2 linked regions of the Danio rerio genome follow. The main gene of each other region encodes a partner of the protein of the gene in region 2 in a complex. Links are inferred from orthologs where the notes say so. Each region holds a gene or a part of one and is shown on either strand. Other genes may lie near its edges. The genes, in order: pigs and gpaa1.

Region 1 (3,829 bases), on a different chromosome or scaffold from region 2:
TGACTGCGTGTCACCGCATCCCTAAGGACTGTTTGGCGAAATATTTGACTGCATGTCACTGCATAACAAACGACTGAAACGATATAACTAGAGAAATCTCCACTGTGCTGCTAAGTGAGAGAGCGCTTCTCACTGAACAGCGCAGCAGCGATGACGCAAGCGTGCCGAGGCCCTTTTGTGGTGTGACCGCGGGCCATCGGGGGAGACGGGAGGGGGGACGGGAGGCCCGGTTCGAGGCAACTGTACCTAGTGTGAGTACGGCCTTATTGTGATCAAGTGATATACAAATAAACTTGAATTTTATTTTATGCACTCCCCTACAGAATCTTCCCAATTAATCTATAATTATAGATTCTTTACAAACATTTATTCAACTCATCTAGTGAAAATGTGTTCATATCGCAATATGTATTGCAAAAAAAAAAAAAAAAAATCACAATCACAATGTGTAATTTTTCTAGTATCGTCAGCCCTACTGTTTTGTAGCACACTAGTCTATAGATATCCTTAAAACTAACGTACTGACACTAATATCCAAACAAATAAAATCATTATAAAATCACCTGGACTAGATTTGATAGCCCTCATGCTGTCTGCCATACTCTCCTTGGTCACTTTGGTCATTCGGACTCGGTCGCTCAGAGCTGCTGTAATATCTTGATGACTGAAAGACATGGTGCTCGCTATCTGCTCCACCCTTGGGTTTAGATTGGAGATGACTTCATTCAGACTCCAAGAACTTTTGAAAGGAGGGGAACGCAGAAGAGCTGTGCGCCGCTGTCCAACGTACACTTTCACATCCTGGAAGTACATGACCTTCAGTAGGGGTTTCAGTATGCGTTTGGAGGAAATAGAAATATATTCTGAAGCTCACCTCTGGAAGAAGAACGGAGGACTCGGGGATCACATACACAACCACAGACCCACAGGAACTCTCGGTCAGAGTGTGCAAGGATAAATCAGCCTCTGTGGAGGGAAATTGAGCTTGTTAATTTTCACATCAGCAACTTATGGAAGTTTCATGGCAAGATTGATTTAGATAAAACATATTACCTAATTATAACTTCAATAACAACTGCATATTTCAGTAAAAGAATATGTTAAATAAATAAAATCGTATTCATCTGAAAATCTTGTCTAGAAGTTTTTCAAATTTCACATTCTAATATAAAATGTTTTATGGCGAGACAACATAACTATCCCATTAGACAACTAAATTTATCTTTAAAAAATTACTGAAGTCAAGAACTTATTGTCAGCTTACTGATTTGGAGGATCATACTATTGCCTAAATTAAAAGTGCCTGGGAACTTGAGGTAGGTGAAGAGTTTGAGCTTTACTGGTAGGCAAATGGGCGAAGCAGTAGGTAGTGCGCAGTAGGTAGTACTGTTGCCTCACAGCAAGAAGGTCGCTGGGTCACAGGTTTGAGCCTCGGCTCAGTTGGCGTTTCTGTGTGGAGTTTGCATGTTCTCCCTGCGTTCGTGTGGGTTTCCTCCAGGTGCTACGGTTTCCCCCACAGTCCAAAGACATGCGGTACAGGTGAATTGGGTAGGCTAAATTGTCCATAGTGTATGAGTGTGTGTGTGAATGTGTGTGTGGATGTTTCCCTGAGATGGATTGCGGCTGGAAGGGAATCCGCTGCGTAAAAATTTGCTGGATAAGTTGGCGGTTCATTCCCCTGTGATGACCCCGGATTAATAAAGGGACTAAGGCGACAAGAAAATGAATGAATGAATGAATGGTAGGCAAATGCTGTTGACAAACTGTAATTCAAGTTTAATATGTGCTTGGCTTTCACTCATACAGTTTAAAATACTGCATAGGGTCTATAACTCCAAAACTCTGCTCTATAGGTTTTATCCTATTGTGGATGACAAGTCGTCCTGTAATTTAAGTCAATTTAAGACATGTTTTCCTGCCTAGAACTACAAAACCATTGAAATAATTGGTTTGGAACCTTTTAGACATGGTTTCAAAATAAAGTAAATATCTGTCCCACCACTACAATTTTTGGTGTCATCAAGAACCGGAGCTGATTTACATGTAAACAGTTTGAGGTACTTGCCTTTATCCCTTTATTAGCAAGACTTTGGATCTTATTTCTTTGGAAACCTTCAAAGTGAAGTTTTGTAAACTAATTTCGAGAGGAGCACGAGATAGGATCGACTACAGCTGATCACTATCACTAATCACTAACTAGCCAATCGGATCACTCTAAATTCAATATAAATATCCAGCCTAAATTCATTTCTCATCTTCGTTTTGAAAACCCCCCCATCCATCCCTTCTCCCTCCTCCTCAGTTCGGGCGACATGGTGGCTCGGTGGCTAGCACTTTTGCCCCACAGTAAGGAGGTTGTTGGTTCTAGCTGAGCCAACCGATACTCTCTGTGCAGAGTTTGCATGTTCTCCCCGTGTTCGCGTGGGTTTTTCCCTAGGTACTCCGGTTTTCTCCCACACTCAAAAACCATGCAACAAAAGTTAAAGTCACAAGCACTTACGACAAACTAGCGCAGCTAGCGGTCTATTTAAGGAAACTATCGAGAACTACCTGATCTCATATCCCTCCTAATGCTTATTGACCAGGCGGGAGCATTGGGCTCATCTATCACCGAGCTCAGGGTTCTCTCCCGGGACAGCATGCCAAACTTGCTTAAATAGTCAAGCATTATCTAAGTGTGAACTCTTGAAACCACCAAGTGTTTTACAGTAGCTTTTAGACACCATGTACTATTTGAAGGAAGAAAAAGATCAGATGTTCTGGCCTTTGCCAGTTATCCCAACAAACACACAACATTGCCTCGACATAACAACCTTCCTGCAACGTTGTGTACCAACCTTGTAAAAAGGTTGAGGATCTATGTTGTAGCTGAAGGTTGTCACAACAGTGTCATAATGTTGTCATTTAAACAGCTGCTACTTTAGGTTGTGCTTAGGCGGCGTGGACGACCACAGTACAACATTTACTCAGCATCAACGAATCAATTTAAAATTCAACAGACCGTTCAGAGTCTCATTCAACAACAACCGAAAAGACTTGAGTATTGCTTTACTTCTTACTAAATAAGTCATCGGTGCTCATTTGTATAGTCAGGTTGTGTCAAGCTTTGATCTGTCCTCCTTTTCACTGCCTATTTTGACTTGTGGCTGCTGTGGATCCATCTCTGAACTGGATTCTCTGTTGGATTTCTTTCACTGACTGCTTTCTCCATACCAACAACTACACCTGGGGCCTCATGTATCAACGCTGCATACGCACAAAAACTTTGCGTGCGCCAGGTTTCACGCTCAGAATCGCTCACGTTTGGATTTACTAACGATGAAATGAACGTGAGAATTTGCGCAGCTCCACGCCAACTTCATGGCTGGCGTACGCACATTTTTTGTGTGTGTCTGTTTTATTTCCATTGGCGACTCCTAGAGGCAATTGTGTTAAATTGCTCTCTACAAAGTGTCTGAGACTTGCAATGGCAGCTGTATGAGGCGGGTTCATCTAGCAGGTATATAAGGTTTCCATACCATACATTTGACCAGCCAAACATTAAAGCGCAATTTGCAGCGATTGTCTGTTTTCCCCAATGTAATCGGAGCGATCTACTGCACGCACATTGCTATAAAGACACTATCTGAAGATGAATTTGCATACGTGAATCAGAAACATTTCCATTCAATAAATGTGCAAATAAAATATTATGCACAGACTTATTAATGATTCCTACTTGTCTTCCTCGTGATTAATAGTAGGCAAAATCTGATATGTAGCGGGAGGAAAAAAAGAATGAGTTCAGCAGACGCTGGGTTCGAACCGAGTTCAAGCTCGGACGTGTCAA
Region 2 (3,829 bases):
ATTCATTTAGTTTACTTTATTTCATTATTTATTTTGAATTTTTTTACTTTATCTATTTATTTTATTACCTAATTAAATTTACTTATTTTCTGTATTTTTTTATTTAATTTACTTTATTTTATTCTTTATTTATTATTTTATTACTTTATTTTTATTTTATTTATTTTATTACTTTATTTTTTATTTTATTACTTTTTAAATTTACTTTATTTTATTCTTTATTTTTTGTGTCATTATTTATTTATTTTATTACTTTATTTTTATTTTATTTATTTTATTACTTTACTTTTTATTTTATTACTTTTTAAATTTACTTTATTTTATTCTTTATTTTTTGTGTCATTATTTATTTATTTTATTACTTTATTTTATTTAATATTTTAATCATTTTATAATCCTTTATTATCTTATTTTATTAATTGAATTACTTTAACTTACATTATTTTATTCTTTTTTATTTAATTACTTTATTTAATTACTTCATTTATTTTCTTTATTTTTCTTTCATTATTTATTTTATTACTTTATTTGTTTTATTTATTTATTTAATTTTTTTATTAGTATTTATACTTAATTCTTATTCTATAGTATTTAATTTTTTATTAATATTTTTACTATTAAATATGTAACTTAGCAAGAGAAAAAAAATAATGCAGCAATATAAAAAATGCCTGTTCGTTCTTTTTCAGATATCTTATGATTGATATAAAAGAAAATTCACTCCTGATTGACTCAAACTGATGGATGTTGCTTATCTGTAGCACAACCACATGTCTTTTTTTAATTATTATATAATTTTTTCATTCCTTAATTAAAAAGTCTATAGGCTGGTTAGAAAAAAGGTGCAAAAAGAAAAAAAATGTTACCTCTAAAACTAATAATGTGGGCATTTAACAAAGACAAGTCCACTTTAATAAAATAAATAAATAAATAAAATACTAAAACTGAAGTACGCTTGAAGCAAATGTGCTGTTTTCCTCAGATGGTTCGGGGCACAAATGTTTATGGGATTTTGCGAGCGCCTCGAGCTCCTCGGACAGAAGCGCTCGTGATCAGCGCCCCCTGCACTCCTGGAGGTACCAACAATCAGGCCGTTGGAATCCTGCTGGGCCTGGCACAATACTTCAGGAGTAAGACTCTTTCTGATTCTGCAATATTACATTGACAAACTCATTTCACTTCTTTTTGCTTTGTAACCAACTTGATTTTGGGCACGGATGCAGGTTGTGTATGAGTGGATGTGTGTTTTGTGTTTTTACTTAATTTTGTTTTAATTTTGGTGTTTTGAATTGATGTATGAACGTCATTTCTGCAATAATTCAGTCTGTATTCAGTCTATATTCAGTCTTGTATTGCTATGCAGGAAATAAATGAACCCTAAAACATTTTTGCTTGTAAAGTTTTGGTTTGGGAAACTTTAGTTTTATTTTAATTCTTTTAAAAATGTTTTCCAATGTTTGTTTTATGGAAATATTTTTTTCAACACATTTCTAAACTTAATAGTTTTAATAATTAATTTCTGATACTAGTATTTAGCTTAAAGTGACATTTGAAGGCTTCTCTGGGTTAATTAGGCTAACTTTAGATTGTATTGCGCATATTATACAGTGTATTGTGCATCCCTATGGCATCTATTGTAATCAGAATGAGATTTATTTTATATTTATTTCCCCAAAGATCAGGTTTACTGGGCCAAAGACATCATCTTTCTGGTGAATGAGCACGATCTGATCGGCATGCAGGCCTGGCTGGAGGGATACCACCACACTAACATTACAGGTGCGTACACATTTACATCCAAGCCCTCATTTTAAAGAGGATCTGCTATGCCTTTTATACAAGATGTGAAATAAGTCTCTGATAAAGTGTGTGTGTGAGGTTTCAGCTCAAAATAGCACACACACATTGTTATCTACCTCTCTGAAACTGACCCTTTTAGGCTTTGATCCTAACTTTGGCGTTTTGGTGACTGTCACTTTAAATGCAAATGAGCACTTTTGAGAAGAGGGCGGAGCTTCAGCATAGTGGCAGATGTAAAACAGCACTAGTGTTGTCAGTGCTGGTCAGGTGTGCATGTGTGCTTCATGCTTCTGTCAGTCCATGTCGCTCCTGTCGCTGCTTCATCTAAAACTCCACATCTGTAATCCTCTTAGTCTATGCTGACGTGATCTTCAGCAGCTCAAACACCGCTAACGGATAGACGGCTGCTTCTCACTCAGGGCTGCTGTTTATGCTGATGAGGGAGAGATGGGCTCTAGTGGGCGGGGCTTTCCCCCTCTGATGACACGTACAAAGGGAGAATGTCAATCAAAGTGTTTCTGCAGACTGATTTCATCAAGTCTGATTATTAAATATAGAATTAATTCATGTTTACAATTAGAAGCTGGGGAGATTCACACACTGCTGACACACAAACAGTTATTTTAGCATAATAGGTCTCCTTTAACAAGTTTTAGTCCCTGACATTCCTTGTTGTTAATGCTTGGGTCTCTCTGTGTTTCAGGAATGGAGTACTCTCCTCTGCAGGGTCGTGCTGGTTCGATTCAGGCTGCGCTGTCATTGGAGCTCAGCAGTGATGTCATCACCAGCCTGGATTTGGTTTTAGAGGGACTCAATGGTCAGCTGCCCAATCTGGACCTGGCCAATCTCTTCTATGCCTTCTGTCAGAAGCTCAACGTTCTGTGCACCATTCAGGGAAAGGTAGGACGTGATTCAAAGGGACACAATGCACTCTCCATAAATAATCACGTTATTTTTCTTTAGTTCACAGATATAAAACACAAACACAACTCTCCCTCAAGCGGTTTCAAAACTTTACAAGTTTTTTTTATTTGTTGAACACAAAAAGAAGATATTTTGAAGAATGCTGAAAACCTGTAACCATTCGCTTCCATAGTAGGAAAAAAAAAACATGCACTATTAAATTCAATAATTACAGGTTTTCAACATTCTTCAAAATATCTTCTTTTGTGTTGAACAGAAGAAAGAAACTCATAAAAGTGTGTAAATAATTTTTTTTTTGGGTGAACTATCCCTTTATTATGGAGTACTTCTCAGAACATGATTGATTTGCAATAGTGAGAGTTCATCTGAGCCGCTGCTCTCCAGTGTGTATCTTTTAAAGGTAAATGGTCTGAAATAGGGCTGGGCGGTATATCGAGTTCTGGGGATATATCGATATGATTCCCCAACGCGATGCAGGATAATCCAAACAGCTGAAAACGGCTAGAATTCTGCTAGAACCATACACAAACGCTGAAAACAAGTCTCAATGTACTTACACACAGCTGGTCTCATTGCTAAAATGCTTCTCCTACTAACTGAACCTACTTTGCTCCTTATATACTCTTTACTTGGCGCTTGGACACGCCTCGAGAGTAAAAACAACCGAAACTGGGGGGCGCGAAACGATACACAAGTTCTTACAGTAACCAAGGAAACAGTGAGTAAACTTAAACTAAAAAGTTTAAGTGTCCTAGAACCACACACAAACACTGGAAACAGGTCTAAATGTCCTCGGGGGGGCGCGAAACCATCACAAACAACTGAAAACCGTTAAAAATACTGCTAGAACCACACACAAACAGCTGAAAACAAATCTAAATGTACTTACACACTGCTGGTCTCATGCTAAAATGCTTCTCCTGAACAAATGAGTGCATGCGCAAATGAATGATTCACTTCATGATACAAAAGATTTGTTCAAAATGAACGATTCGTTCAAGAACGACCCATCACTGACGCGACATGGAGGAACATGCAGTCCCGGTGTTGTATCGAAATCTGACTCCCCGGACAAATCTGACTCCTCTTTCTTCCGCAACTGACA

What was found.
Region 1: gpaa1 (region 2) and pigs share a complex: the UniProt entries of both Homo sapiens proteins name them as parts of the GPI-anchor transamidase complex. The link is inferred for Danio rerio from reciprocal best matches to the Homo sapiens genes GPAA1 and PIGS.

What each region holds. Positions count from the first base shown.
Region 1 is NC_133196.1:42,871,907-42,875,735, forward strand, and holds part of pigs (GPI transamidase component PIG-S), read right to left. Parts: intron 967-3,829; coding exon 875-966; intron 802-874; coding exon 564-801; intron 1-563. UniProt on the Homo sapiens protein: Component of the glycosylphosphatidylinositol-anchor (GPI-anchor) transamidase (GPI-T) complex that catalyzes the formation of the linkage between a proprotein and a GPI-anchor and participates in GPI anchored protein biosynthesis.
Region 2 is NC_133177.1:1,638,751-1,642,579, reverse strand, and holds part of gpaa1 (glycosylphosphatidylinositol anchor attachment 1 protein), read left to right. Parts: intron 1-982; coding exon 983-1,130; intron 1,131-1,677; coding exon 1,678-1,779; intron 1,780-2,503; coding exon 2,504-2,700; intron 2,701-3,829. UniProt on the Homo sapiens protein: Component of the glycosylphosphatidylinositol-anchor (GPI-anchor) transamidase (GPI-T) complex that catalyzes the formation of the linkage between a proprotein and a GPI-anchor and participates in GPI anchored protein biosynthesis. Binds GPI-anchor.